Linked DNA regions of Styela clava. The protein of the gene in region 1 interacts with the protein of each later gene in a pairwise test. Links are inferred from orthologs where the notes say so. Each region holds a gene or a part of one and is shown on either strand. Other genes may lie near its edges.

Region 1 (7,692 bases):
GGGATTAAGAATTTATCCCAAAAGTGACATATTTATAACCGTACTATAATTTATTTTTTCTCAATAAAGTTTATTGAATAAAAAGAAAAATACCTTTCCGAGATTTGAACATAAACGTGATTAAGCCTTCAAATGAGAATCAATCAACTCTATACTGCTTTACGAAAATAATCCTACAACAGTCAGATAGAACAGATATCAGGATATAGAATATAAAGTATAAACTATAAAGTTACCTGTATACCGGTTCCAATTAAAGCAGATATGAATTATTTACCAACTTTCGACAAAGATGGGACAAACTAATTTTCGATAATAATTCTATTCTTGCAATAATTTATCGAGCGCACCAAGCGTGAACTTTGGTGATAGGAGTATCAAAAATTGCCAAATCTGTCCATCTATTTCACTATTGCGAATTAAAAATATTTATCACCCTCACAGTGAATTTTTAAAATTTTGGACTTTTATAATGTGCTTGCAGACTTAATTAATCATTGTCGAGATTCAGAGGGCTGGAGGGGTTCGCACGAAGCACACTGGACTCTTTATTGACTAATAAGATATTTTATTCTGAACTAATACCCCTATTTCTGTATTTTGTATATAAGTTTAATAAATTTAGTGATCTTTGCAACTACATTTTAAGTTGGTCTACTTATGGAAAGCTGCCGGGTCTAGGGCCATTATTTGGAATAAAGTATCTGAATATGGCGGTATGTTATCTTTTAAGAAAAAATTGATCTGGAAATGGATCATATTATGGTTTTTCCGCAGTGGCAATGATCAAACATTCTGATATTGTGTTGATGATGAAACTTTTGAGTGTGGCATGGGTCGTACAAGTGTTTTAAATTGCAAAATTGATGTTGTGTTTCAGCAGGTTTACTGTTTACAGACCATTGGCCTCACAGACATCTCATCCCTGTGATTTTTTCAGTCATATCGACGCATGAAATCCAAACTGGGCTAAGTCCATTTTTCTAGTTTTGAGAAAAACGCAAAAAACGTTTTTTTTTTGTTTCTTTTTTTTATTTCTCTAATACCTTACATCGAGGATGTCTAGTTTTTATGGTCCACCAAAGTTACAATGAAGGCCATATTTGAGTGGTATAAAAAAATTTGTGTTGCCCCCCAAATTTTTTTGGGGGGGAGTTTTTTGGACCTGGGCCATTTTTTGCTCTCGATTTTCTGAACCAGAATTTTTTTATTGGACTTAGGGCCCCTTTATTATGCTATTATAAAGGCAACTTGTCATTGATAAACGTCAATAATTCCCTTTTACAATGTTTTTGACACTTTTTGTGAGCTTATCTCCACGTTAGAAAATATTTCTGCTCCTGAATCTTGCTGACAATAGTTATCTAGCATCCAATTTTTATCAGACTGCTATTGCTACTGATTACTGCATTTTTTATATTATATTCCTTCTCATAACCATTGCCAACTAAATTACTAAACAAAGTTAAGAAAGAAACTGTTGTAAATTCTCAATCAGGAATGGTCAAGAAAAATAAAAAAAAATTAAATCAAGCCCAATATGTAAAACTGTTTTAAATTATTTTAATTTTACAAAAGTTTGAGCTAGTGTTTCTGCTCATGAAATCTAACTTTCATCAATTACTGGAAGCAATTCGTAGAATGCCTTGTGGTTTGTAGGGATTAAATTCTTATTACATAATGTTGTCAAACTCTTGTATTTCTCCCTGCTGACTCTTTTATATTCTGTCTTTTTTGTGTTGCTGGTCTTGCTGACTTTAGAACCAAAGAGTTCTAAAAGAGCTCCTCACCGAATGGGCTGTGTCATTCTCATTTTGAGAATGACCTGTAATTAGAAAATTAAGTGTTATTTCATCGAAATGCAGCTCCTCTATAGCATAGAGTAACATCACAATCATAGCTCTGTTATTATTTTGTCCACTGCAGCGGTCACAGAAAAGTTGCACAGTCTTCACTGCTGTGGTGAGAGAGGACAGGTATCAAAACACTGCAGTCGCTATTTTACAAGAGCTTTTTCACCCTTATACTTCATTCCAAAGATAGCAACTCTTGTGCATGGACTGAATGTCAGTTACTGTAAAGTTGAAATTTTTCAGCATTTGTGTGTAGTAAAAGGAGGACACTTGTCCACAAAGACAAAGAAGAGTTTTCTGAAGGTCAAAAGCTGCCACATGAAGTGAAGAATCTGTTGTGGTTTTTTCTTTCATTTCCCTCTTCATTGAACGCACCATGTCCTTTTCTTGGATATGCTTAGTTTGATTTTCGAAATCTTCGTCAGTCAATAGAGATTTTTGCATTTTTTGAAAGCTGAAAGCATTGATCACACACATCTATTTTAGGTCGGTGAAATTTAAGATTGAATTTTTCATTGGATATGCGTAAATAAAAATCATATGATTCAACTGCAGAGCTATTTTCTTCGCACCAAATCTCATATATTTCATACATTTGTCGTACAGTCAGATACTCATGAAGATATTCCCACTGACTGTCTTTTCTCAAATAATGTGATTCAACAACTGGAAACAATTTTATATGAGTTATAAATGGCTCCTGCCTTTCCCTGGTGACTTTGTTGTGGTCACCATATCTTCCTCACATATCTTTCTCCAGTGAACCAGTGATGTTTCCACCCTTTTCTTGCTTATATTCGGGGGAATCTAAAAAAAGTTATTACACACTTGCACCAACTCGTTGCTTTCTGGATTTAAAAAAGTGTAGACTCTGTTGACTTCCTGATTACGTTTTTGATCAGTCTTAGTATCTTTTCTCGGACTGCATCTCATTTTTTGTATGTACTGAGACAATCATATTCTGGTTAGATTTCTTATCAGATGGGATATCGTAACTGAGTAAAGTCTTCTGGCTGGTTCACACTTTGCTTGGCTTTGCTTGAAAGATATATTTCCGACTCGAAAATTCCATAATTATGTAAATTTTAATAATTTAAAAACAGCAGTTGGAAAGTGGTTATGGCAATGAATAATAACTTTCTCATTCCCTCTACTGTAAACATAAAAAACAGCTAACACTGAGCTATGACTGAGAGCTGGTATGGACTTAGCGCTTTCTATTATATTTAACTCAAATTTTTGGGAGGAGCTATGTCCAAAAAACGGACTTAGCACCGACTTACAATGCAGTTATCCAGAGCTAAGTCCACTATAGCAGACACAGCTCTGTTTAGTTCTCAAATGCCCTAAAAAAAGCAGGGTTATGTCCATAGCTATCTTGAGATCTAGAGCACCTAGAGATAAGGCAAATAGACCAAAATGTAGAGCTAAGTCCAGGAAAATCAGCAGTTGGAAAATGTCGTTTTTGGGAAAAGTGGACTTAGCACTGTTTGGTTTTGATGCGTCGATATGATGGTATGAGACTATTTAATTTATGACTTCAATAATCTGTGACACCTATGTAACCCTAACTACAGAACTATGCACAAATGTTCTATAAATCCTTATGTATTTATATAATAATACATATGAACAAAACTCAAAGTGAATGTGGAATAACTGAAATAAAGTCATAACATTGCAAAACATAGTGAATAGCTCAAAACAGAGGGCAGAGGGAAACAGCAAATACCTGTTACCAGTTTTGCACAGTTTCCCTTTGTTTCCCCCTTTTTCCGCAAATAGTAAGACCCAATATGAAACAAGTTTGCATATACCCATATAATCAGTCCCATATTTATTCGTACCATGTTTATTCATAATATTGTGGCATTATATACTTTAATACTTTTTCATTGCTTTTCTCTATACTAGTATAGTAAGGTTTAAAATAGGAATCCAGTCAGAATGTCTTCTTGTGGGACTTCAACTGGCAATATTGCAAAGGAGGGAGAAGAAAAATTTGGCTACTGGAAACAATTAGTTGAAACTGGATTCGGAGGTCTTCAAAACTGGCCAAAAATGCGTCCACTGGAAAATGATTGGCAACGTCCTGGTTTAGCTTATGATAAGTGTGACATCGAAGTCATGGCTATGGAAATTTGTCGTCTGCACAATGCAGATAATCATAGACGTGTCCAGCAAGTGTGTGCGAAAGAACTTACAGACTTGATGGAATGCACATATCCTCTTAATCGATGTAAAAATGAAAAAAAGCTTATCAAAGCCAGTGCATTAGCTTTTGATCCTATACCTTCATTGCAAGCTGGATTTAATTGGAAATATTAAATTTTGAACTATTGATTCAGAGTTTCATCTAGGACTGGTCATTTATCATTAATTTTTGATTTTGCTTTAGTGTTCATATTTGATCTTTTTGAAATATAGGAGACTGTTGTAGTGTGTTTATATACCCTTGGCACGACATTTCAGATATGAATAAATATTCCTTCATTCACTTTGTAATAGTTTTTTTTGGGGTATCGTATCATATTGAGTTTATATTATAGACCTAGCTGGATTTTCATTCAGCATAGAGTAAACTCTGAACATTTTTGTAGATATATATCAGTCCTACGATTTGTCTGATTATTTTTTTTAAATTATTCTGGTTCCGATCACATTATAATATCCTTAAGTGTGTTTATCTCTAGATTTTATAATGGAAACAGTTAAATCATTATTCGAAAGACTTCAATATGATGAAAATCGTCTTGCTGCCCTTTTGGACGGAAAAACTTACTTAGTAAACGTTAAGCCCACTACTTTGAAGGGAATAATAACAGCTCCGGATATTGCTTTACTTTTTGCTTGTTTCGATACGCAAAATGTAGAACAAATTTCAGCTGTTATCTTCATATTGAAGCTATTATTGCCAATAGTTGATGTTGGGGCAAAATTGGAAGTTTTATCTCAGCATTTATGGAATGGTTTGAATCATTCCAACAGCTCCGTCCAACATTTATGTCTCGGTGAGCTTCGGGAATGCTGCGTAACAGATATAGGCAACCGTGCGTTAATGGAAGGCAAAAATGTCATTGCAAAAGTAATAGAACTCATTGGGGATGATGACATGTCAATAGCTCATTCTGCAGTCCAGTTTCTTTCTGATTTTGCGTCATATTCTATCAATGCAGCAAAATTTCTTCTTCAAGGAGAATTGCTGGAAAAGTTTCAGGCAGTGATGAGAAAGAATGATAACGTTCGTTACAGAGGATATGATGTTATTGTGAAAATTCAATCTAAATCTATTGAACATTTATCTGTTTGTGATTCTTCTGGTTTGCTTCGCAATCTTGTTAATGAGCTGATGGGAGATGATGTATTAATTAAAGTTGTCTGCGTGTCAACTTTGTCTGAAATGGCACTCAGGAAACACAGTTTGCAATACTTGAATAAGAATGGAGTTGTCAACAAATTGATATCAATGATTACAAATGTTGCCTCTGATCCATTGGCCGATTTATATATGCCAGAAATTGTGAAGTTTTTTGGAAAAATGTCGTATCAAGAAGGACCACAGCATGTTATACAAATTTTTCCACAATTTTTGGACACCTTGTTTTCACTTGTTGATGAATTTGATTTGGTGAAGAAAAAAATTGGAATTGAAACTTTGGGATTCATTGGACAAAGCATGGAGGGCAAAAATGTTCTTGCAAAGGAGGGAAACCGCACCAAAGCGGCAATTACTGAAATTGGAAAGATTATATGCACAGAGGGAAGCGATTTGAGACTGATATCTATAAATGCAATGTGCCAGTTATTGGATATAGCTCCCTTGGATCAGACTGAAGATATTGTAGCTTTATTGGCACAATGGTTTCGTTGCATCTCATCATCTCCCATTGATGCAATTTTGTTTTTATGTCGCCAGCCTTTCACAAGTGTAAAATGTGCCGGATTTCATTTGATAAAAACTATAGCGAAATTAGAGTTTGGAATGGCTGCTATGGTTGAGTTCCCCACTTTTGTGGAATTCATCCTCGATCGATCGTCTGATAATAATAAAGAATCTAAAGATGCAAGATTTGAAGCAGTAAAAGCAATTGCAGAATCTCCCCAATGCATGCATATCTTTGGCAACAATAATTATTTAAAGTTTCGTTCTTATGTTCTTGAAGGACCATTATATGAAGAGATGGTCAGTCCTGAGGTCGCAATGGAAACATCTTAAAAAATATGCTCAGTACTAGCTTGAGCTTTAAGTACACCTCGCCCTTACGATAAGGAGCTAAAGTGAACTATAATTGAGATTGAGATAATTGAGCCCATCTGAAACATTATTTTTGTGATAATTCTGTGTTTGCTTTTACGTTTAATGACCGCCTGCTATAACACCTAATGTAGTAACATTAATAATACCTTGTTATAAGGTGTTTGCTCACTTAAACTCAAAACGGGATTCGTTGCAAATTGCAAGCAGCAATTGAATGCACTGATTGTCGTGTTTCGAAAGATCAAAAATTTTATGAATCAGCATATCTGAAATGGTGACCACAGACTGCATATTTTTCATAAACTTGCTGGGAACCTGACAACTTGCAATGCTAAATCAAATATGACAGCAGGATCTATGTCATGACACTTTGGACAATAAAATATATGTTTGAAGTTTGGACATACCATGCATTATTTAATGATGGGTGATCAGTCTTATAGAAATATTGCAAATTTTGTATAAATTTTTTCGAATGTATTATCGAACACAAAGTTGATTTGAAAGTTATGTTTGGGACCAAAATTTATTTTCTTCCTATCTGCTGGATCACTCAATTTCAAATATTCGCAGTTGAAAACGAAAGTTTCTTCTTCAAAAATATCTCTTTCAATTTTGTCATATTTACTCTAGGCATTTTTTGATTTAATATGAACAGGTTTTAAAAAAAATGATGCCATGTGGCTGTGTCTTTATATTTGAACATTGCTATTTGGCCATATTTTCAAAGCTATTTATTCTGATCTTTGCGCTATATTCCAAAAGATTTTGCGGTATAATTTGCTCAAGTCGCATATAATAAAATCATCATTATTTAAGTTGCTAATACACTGCGTTTTAATGCTGCCTTTAGTGTCATAATACAGAGAATGTCTTTTGTAGCAATACGTAATCTACCGTAACTTTTATTTTAACTTTCATTTTAGAACTCCTGTTTATATCTAATGTCACATTGAATGGTTTAAATTTTCATCAGTCATGCTTCTAATAATAAATCGTGGTTGTTTAACCAAATACTGTTCCATACTGAGGAGTAGTTCGTTTTGTACCTCTTCATGCACTCGTCAAGTTAAGGATGCACAAACCAAAGCTATGTATGATAGAATGATCAGAGTCGATCATGCAGGGGAACTTGGTGCCAATCGAATATATGCTGGACAGCTGGCTATTTTACGTAAAACTGATGTCGGCCCAATCATTGAAGAAATGTGGGAACAAGAAAAAGTTCATTTAGCAAAATTTAATGAACTTATACCTAAGCATAGAGTGCGTCCCACTGTATTAACTCCAGTATGGAATGTTGCAGGATGGGTACTAGGTGCTGGAACTGCCCTTATGGGGAAAGAAGCTGCAATGGCTTGCACTGTAGCTGTTGAAGAAACTATTACGGAACATTATAATGATCAACTTCGAGAACTTTTAGCAAGAGAAGATTCCTCCGAGCATGAGGAACTTCTAAGCACAATCAAACAGTTTCGTGATGAGGAAATGGAACACCATGATATAGGAATTGACCATGATGCACTAAATGCACCTTTTTATTCAGTTTTGAAAAATGTAATACAAGCGGGATGCAAGGTT
Region 2 (8,258 bases), on another chromosome or scaffold:
TGTAATGCTGCTGACCTAGTATCAAATATTCGCATCACAACGCCACTTGCGAGGTTTCCATATATTTCAATTACACTAATAGGAACAATGACATCAAAGAGTTTTCTTTTGCGAAGGTAGACTTAATATAATATGAGGATGATTCTTGAGAAAAACATGAATATAAAAAATGAACGAATGATATGATAATGGATCCCAAATAATTTTGAGAGTGTCTCGAAATACCAATCCATTTGATAAATAATTTTTATTCGACCACATGAACGCTGATATCCTGAAAATTAATGTTGAAAGAGAATTACGCATTCTCAGATATCGGACATCCAGTCGCGATATTCAATCGTTCATATGCACAAATCTCACATTAATAGTAATTGCTACCCAAATTTGTAAAGTTTAGAAACCAACAAACAGAAAATAACTAACCTAAAACACAATTAAAATTCAGTCGGCAATAAATTCGTCGCCAAGACGATGCCATACAAAACAAAAAAGATTTGGTCGCGAGAGTTACGTGAGATGACTGCCGTTGTTTTTTAAGCAGAATGTAAAAAAAATTATAATTAATAAACGGGAGTTACGACGCCCTTTACACATCGTGTGTATTAAACTTCCCTGGTAAGTACTATTATTATTGTACCTATACACCTGTTGGAGTATTTCGGACAATTTCGAATTTAAAATAAATGAAAACCAGACATATAATAAAGACGCAAAAGTAAAATGAACATTTATTGAAAAAGTTATTATTTAAGGAAGACAACATGATCGTACAATTCCGCCAAAACCTCGATGTTCGCAAGTGAGATGATAAATAAATACTTCCCTGTATTCGATCAATTAACTTTAGCGTATCGTTGTTCTGCCAACAAACAGCAGGGTGCAAAATATTTCCGTCCTGTGATATGCTCACAAATATTCTCGATATTAATATCATACCCTCGCGTATGTACTTTCTATTAGCTCTTTAGTGATCCCTTCCATCCTTGGCCAAGTCATGTTTCGAATATGTGAACATTTTATTCGACCATACGTGGCCGGCGGGATGTTGAAAATTGTAAACAAGAGAGAGGTAAAATCAATCGCGAATTTCGTTATAACGGCTCGTTTACGAATTGTTGCGCCTGTTATCGTCGAAAATGATTACATTTGTTGTATTTTGAGGCATTTAGGCAGTAATAATTAGGGCATGACATCATCAAAATCGTCAAGTGAGATCTTGAAATTGCAAATTCCGTAAATAAAATTGCGAATTATTCGGTAACGAATTCAGCTTTAATGACCGTCGGGGTATTGTTTTGTTGAAAATTATTATTAATGAAAGGTAAAATTTGATCTAAATTAATTGCAAAAATGTTTTATTTTAAATGTAACAAAACACATTTTGCGATATAACCTTTTATTATCGAAAACGGGTGTCCTGAAAAGTAAAATAGGATCTAAATTAATCGCAAAAATGTTTTATTTTAAATGTAACAAAACACATTTTCGCGATATAACCTTTTATTTTCGGAAACGGGTGTCGTGAAAAGCAAAATATGATCTAAATTAATCGCAAAAATGTTTTATTTTAAATGTAACAAAACACATTTTTCAAGATACAACTGTATTTTCGGATACCGGGTGTCATGGAGAGTAAAATGTGATCTGAATTCACCGTAAATAATGTTTCATTCCAAATGTATCATAACGCATTTTTTGCGATATAACTTTGTATTTTCGAAAACGAGGCGTCACGAAAATTATTAATTTAATGTTCTATCTATCGTCTAACTAACGTCTGGAACACATCATTTTCGGGGAGAACTCTAGCCCGCGAAACGTCATTTAATTTAAAATAGAGAATGTTTCACGCATTTCAAAACGGAAAATCACCAGTAAGTGGACAGGGATTCAACCCTCCGGATTCAGTATTCTATATCCCCGTGTCAGAACTTTCTGAAGAATGGAACAAAGAACCCGTCAAACCGCCGCGGAAGAAGTGGAGTATTTTTTGCACTAATAATTAGGGCGTGACAATATCAAAATCGTCAAGAAACTGGTGAATTTGCAAATTCCATAAATAAAATTGTGAATTGCTCGGTAACATTTTAGCTATAATTATCGCCGGGGTATTGTTTGGTTGAAAACACGTTGAAACTTGACGGAATTAGTTACAATTAGCGCCTGACCTCTATTAGGCACTCGAGCACTCGAAAAAAAAAGCACTCGAGCCCAATCTTTTTAGCATTAAGTCGCATACCTAAAATATCCTGCAAAAGAAGTGCTGTTCATTAACGTCATCTCGTCTTACGACCACGCAGAAATGCCTTTATAGCCGAATTATTCAATCACTATTTCAAATCAACATTCAGGATTGGCACAATTTCAGATTTGCGAAGTTTATCACCATAGAAATACACGAGAAAGTTAATTATCGTCTTAATAAATATCTGCATCACGGTATGGACAATAATATTACCATTCACATAAAATTGGGACGGTAAATTTACAAATCTTGATAGGTAATATTAAAGCCAGCGCAAATGTTAATTTGAGTCCTCAATGTCTTCAACAGCTGTTGCCGATGTGAACGAACGGGTAAACCCGAAATATAAAACTTCGATGTCCGCCGACCCACAAGAATTCATATTTGTAAAAAACAGAGGGCGGGAATATAGATTACCCAAAACCTGGATATCGCCGCCAAAACGATCGGTGACAAGAACAATTAGCGATTACAACGGAATTAACCAGTAAAAAGGCTTTGTTGCCGATTTTTTAATGTTTCCACCACGTTTATTCGGTATTCCTTAAAAATATTCGATTTGAAAAAAAATATTGAATTTTGCCCACCCCTCCTCGCATATCAATGAGAAATAGTTGTGTAAATATCGCAAAATTCCGGAAAATGCCACGTCCTTTCAACATTGTGATTACAATAAAATGGCACTTAATGGTATTTTGTGAATTTGTTGATTTTGCAAATCTGTGAAATGCTGCTAAAAGTTAAGTCTGATTTGAAAATCGTGCAGTTTGGTCACAATTCATCCAAAGTGACTATAACACCTTACTAACACTTTTTATAGTCATTTTGAATTCATCGATATCATTGATAGTCACATGACCACTCTAGTTCAAAGAAACGCCCCGAGAGCGTTTTTTGCGGGAGAAGCGGAATCCGTGTGCTTGTATAATAATCATATTATAAACAAGAATTTTGCCGTTAATGCAAAAGCTTCATCTCCTATGTCTGCATCTCATAGGTTAGAATTCCGGTAAATATCGTTATGATATGCAGAATTGAGTTACAAAAGTACTAGTATGTTACTTATTTGTCAACTTAATACTCGAAAATATTTGTTAACTTTGAATTTTTATTCTATTCAAAATCGGAAAAAAGTGCTATTTCTCTTCAAAATCGGAAAAAAGTGCTATTTCGCAGTCCCTAAAAAAAGTTGCGAAAGTGCTTCGCAATTTTCGCAAAAAAGTGCGCTAATAGTGAACACTGCTGATGACAATATGGTCAATGAAGAATAAATGTAGGCCTATGTAGTGAATCGGAAAATGTAAAGTTACAGGAGGAGTCCCGCTTTGAAGTCAAAAAAATATGGTAACCCTAGATAGATACAGTAGTTTATTTTGAAAACTCCATAACACACACAGATTAAAAATGGAGGATTCCGGAGAGCATACAAAATAGTTTAAGACATGATAAATATCATGCCCCTCAGCACACACACAAACCAAATTAAATGAGGCGTGGGCCAGAATTGAACAAACAAAATATGGAGTCTTATGTAGTTTCGTACCTAACATACTTTTGGTGGGCGTATAGTAACAATATTTGCACGTGTCAATCCTAACCCCCACCTGACCATGCCATCCAAAAATTATGTCTCTCTGACGTCACAGTGGCGTAATAGAGCCCTTCAAACTATACGAACCGTCATCCAAAACGCGCTTGTCTGCACACCTGAAATCGAATGGCTACTTCTCTCGTTTTTTCATCTCGACGATCCCAATATGAGAGAGATCACTAACGTTAGTAAGTTCTTTATCGCCGGCACCGATGCCATTTCAGGCGATCGTACGTATATTTGTCAAGCTCTATGACGTGATTGTGATGTCGCAGTGAAGTAATATTTGGATGGCATAGTCAGGTGGGGGTTAGGATTGATATGTCAGAAAATTGTGATGCTACGCCCACTAGAAGTATGTTAGATACGAAACTACACGAGACCCCAAATACGAAATAGTATTTAACTTTCGGGCTGTTGTACTTTTAACACTTACATTGATATAACCAATACAATCTGATATAAAGATAATGTGGGGAGTGCAATGTAATAAACTGACAACAATAGTCATTGAAGCTAAGAAAAACCGAGCCATGAAAAACTACACTGCTATTTGCCTGATTGCTAGATCGGGCATTGCTGAAAAAGGTGATGAAGTGGTATAAGATCAAGCAAACTCTAAACTATGACGGTAAACTCGGTGTACGAACGCTAATAAAAACAATTTTCAGGAAAAACACTAATCACACGTGAACAGGTCTGTAGCCTAATTGATATATTGACGTGGCCAGCATTGTTAAAACAGTATACACAAAGAGAGAACAAAACAAAAATATGCCATCAAATGAATGTTCAAAAACGTTGAGCATTGTTATGGTCATATCAATTTACATTAAAAACTATTTACGCATATATAGTTGAATTCTCATTTAGTATTCAAGTAGAATTTCTAGCACAGTACAGCACCCTATCCAAATTTCAAGAATTTCCCTCCAATTGGCTCAATAAACCAAACACTCTATGTGTCTCACAAACGAGGGGTGTCTGGGGCCACGTCAGATGCGTCATATCACACCATGCTTGTCTCAATAATAATCTAAATTAATCGTGGCAGTCACATGACCAAAATTGCCGTTTTCTGCTAAAAACTCTCGAATGCTCCGGTAAAATTTTTTCTCCTTCGGTAAATCGGATTGAAATTCAACGATGATTTTACTAAATTGCGCTTTTTTGTAGTATTTTTCCCAATATTTCAGTATTTACATGTTGATATTTCTTCGGTGCTGGTTCATTTCAGTCCTTCTGCACCGCTGAAAAATGCAACTGCACCGGATGACTGCCAAACGTGTAGAGATGGTAAAATGATTCATTCACAGATTAAAAAAATTAATCAAATAGCGAATAATGTATAATAATAATTATATACCGGTAAGTCTGTATGTGTTTTTTCAATAACAGTTCAATTTTGCTAGTGTTATAATAATTTATAAAGTAAAGTAAATAACAATAAAAATGCCAGACTATTTGGGAGATGACCAACGCAGAGTCCGTGACGATGAAAATAAGGACGAGAAACCGATCCAAGCTCTGGATGAAGGAGATATCGCACTCCTGAAGACGTACGGACAGGGTCCGTATGCGAAGCAAATCAAACAAGTTGAAGATGACATCATAGCGATTACGAAACGTGTTAATGAGCTCACAGGAATTAAAGAATCGGATACTGGACTCGCCCCACCGGCTTTGTGGGATCTTGCCGCGGATAAACAAACGTTGCATAGTGAACAACCATTGCAAGTAGCCCGATGTACGAAAATTATTGATGCTGACACAGATAACGCCAAGTATATCATCAATGTGAAGCAATTTGCGAAGTTCGTCGTAGACCTTGGAGATCAAGTCGCTCCAACCGATATAGAAGAAGGCATGAGAGTGGGGGTAGATAGAAATAAATACCAAATTCATATCCCGTTACCCCCTAAAATAGACCCCACTGTTACCATGATGCAGGTTGAAGAAAAACCAGATGTAACATATTCGGATGTCGGAGGCTGCAAAGAGCAAATTCAGAAGTTACGTGAAGTAGTGGAAACTCCCTTGTTGCACCCTGAACGTTTCGTTACACTTGGAATAGATCCTCCAAAGGGGGTTCTTCTTTTTGGACCCCCAGGAACAGGGAAAACGCTCTGCGCGAGAGCAGTTGCTAATCGTACGGATGCCTGTTTTATTCGTGTTATTGGTTCCGAGTTGGTACAGAAGTATGTCGGGGAAGGAGCCAGAATGGTTCGTGAATTATTTGAAATGGCTCGTACTAAGAAAGCATGTTTAATTTTCTTTGATGAAATTGATGCCATAGGTGGCGCTAGATTCGACGACGGAGCTGGCGGGGATAATGAAGTTCAACGTACAATGTTGGAGCTCATCAACCAATTGGATGGATTTGACCCGCGTGGAAATATCAAGGTACTAATGGCAACGAATCGGCCTGACACTTTAGACCCAGCGCTGATGCGTCCAGGTAGAATGGACAGAAAAGTAGAATTTGGGTTGCCAGATCTTGAAGGCAGAACCCACATTTTTAAAATCCATGCACGGAGTATGAGTGTCGAGCGTGACATTCGATACGAGCTTTTGGCTCGTTTGTGCCCAAACAGCACTGGCGCTGAAATTCGCAGCGTTTGCACTGAGGCTGGAATGTACGCTATTCGTGCTCGAAGAAAAGTTGCAACGGAAAAAGATTTTCTGGAAGCTGTCAACAAAGTGATCAAGTCATACGCAAAGTTCAGCTCAACACCAAGATATATGACCTATAACTAACTGTGGAATTATGTTATATGGATTGTTGACTATATTGGAATTATACAAAAAAAATGTTTTCAAAAAATTCACATCAAATTGACGTTGGCAATAATATTAATGGATATAATTATAGAACTGAAAACTTACAATTTGCAAGTTATATTGACATTGTCCATTTAGGTTTTTTTAAAAAAAATTATTATTCCAGTCATATCAGGATAGTAATGTAAGGTTAATTAACTATCTAGGTCACAGGTATTTTTACCTTCTGGAAGTGTGATATTGCTGTTAACACTCTCTTAGTCTATCTATTTATGGCAATATCATTTGTTGCCTATGGGATGGGCTTGATTGTATTGTTGTGTAGGGCTGTATATGGAAATGTTTAGAACAGTGGTTCCCAAACTTTTATGGCTTGTGGCCTCTTCCCAGAGGATCATGGCCCCCTGTTTATTATTCCAGTGGTATTTGTAGTATTATTTTGATCCCAAATCTCGGTATGGTAAAACAGATGGAAAATGGGTTGTTTTCTAGTAGAAGAAAATGTAAAATCAGTTTTGAGTCTGGCAATGTGGCCCCCATCCAACTGCTCAGCCTGTCTGGTCAGAAAAAGTACCCTTTTAGTCTACTAGATATTGTCGTTATTATTCATTAATGTCAATATTATTCGTGGAATTGCAAGATTATGTTGGTATTGAGGGCTGTGTTTCATAAGTAGGAATGTTTGGATTCACATTTGTTACGTTTGGTTTGCTATTTTGGACAGTTATTTGAAATGAGCATGTTTTAGATTTGGCTGGTAATGTTAATATTATTTTCACATCAGTGATGATATTCTGCATCTGAACTATTGATGAATTTCTTACAAGGCCTGTGTAACAGTTTGATTTAGTGGATTTCTCTATTTCTCAAAGTTTGAAACAATATCCATCAAATTATTTCAATAAAAAGTTTGGATAGTTCAATTGAAAGTCAAAAATTTGTGTTTCCTTATTTCCTAAAAACATATTTTTCAAGTTTCATCTGTTTGGATTGAAGGCTGAAGCCCTCAATTTACTTTTAATGTTCCACTTGCGCCAAGTTTAACAACAGTGACATGCTAATATCTATAGGCCCTGGAATTTCATTTTCATTTCTGTTATTATTTGGTATTTAAAAGATGAAGGATCTTGTTTTTACTTCTTGCAATTTGTGCATTTATATCAGTGGTTCCCAAATCCGTGGGCTAATTACGGCCAGCATAACAATTTAACATGGCCCGCTGAACTTGAGTAAAATAGTTCCACACTTTACGTTTTTATCCTTTTGCGTTTTAAATATCGCAGTTTGAGCTTGTGTTTGTGTATATTTGTAATAATTCAATTATATTGGTATCTTGGTTGTACATACTGGTATTGGGATTACATAAATGTCTCACACTTGCTCTTTCCAGGCCCACAATATCCTTCCGCTTCTAATTTTGGCCTCCTGTCAATCAACTTTGGGAACAACCACTAATTTATATGTTTCATTTATGACAATCCTGGAAATTTTTCATTTTCTGTGCAAGACCTATTGGTGTATGAACTTGAGCACGGGCCATGTTAAATCAATATGTATTTGTATGAATCCATTTGGTCACCTATTTGATGCTTTGTTTTGTATTATTAGTGGCTGCTAGTGGGCCTTCGGCTGCTTGTA

The links.
Region 2: the proteins of 26S proteasome non-ATPase regulatory subunit 5-like (region 1) and 26S proteasome regulatory subunit 7 interact in binary tests that used the Homo sapiens proteins (3 or more experiments, as listed by UniProt). The link is inferred for Styela clava from reciprocal best matches to the Homo sapiens genes PSMD5 and PSMC2.

The regions. Positions count from the first base shown.
Region 1 is NC_135263.1:5,458,218-5,465,909, forward strand, and holds 26S proteasome non-ATPase regulatory subunit 5-like, read left to right. Parts: upstream 1-4,546; 5' UTR 4,547-4,554; coding exon 4,555-6,069; 3' UTR 6,070-7,039; downstream 7,040-7,692. Other genes in the region: NADPH-dependent 3-demethoxyubiquinone 3-hydroxylase, mitochondrial-like, read left to right, coding at 7,090-7,692. UniProt on the Homo sapiens protein: Acts as a chaperone during the assembly of the 26S proteasome, specifically of the base subcomplex of the PA700/19S regulatory complex (RC).
Region 2 is NC_135261.1:463,950-472,207, forward strand, and holds 26S proteasome regulatory subunit 7, read left to right. Parts: upstream 1-5,221; 5' UTR 5,222-5,291; coding exon 5,292-6,596; 3' UTR 6,597-8,228; downstream 8,229-8,258.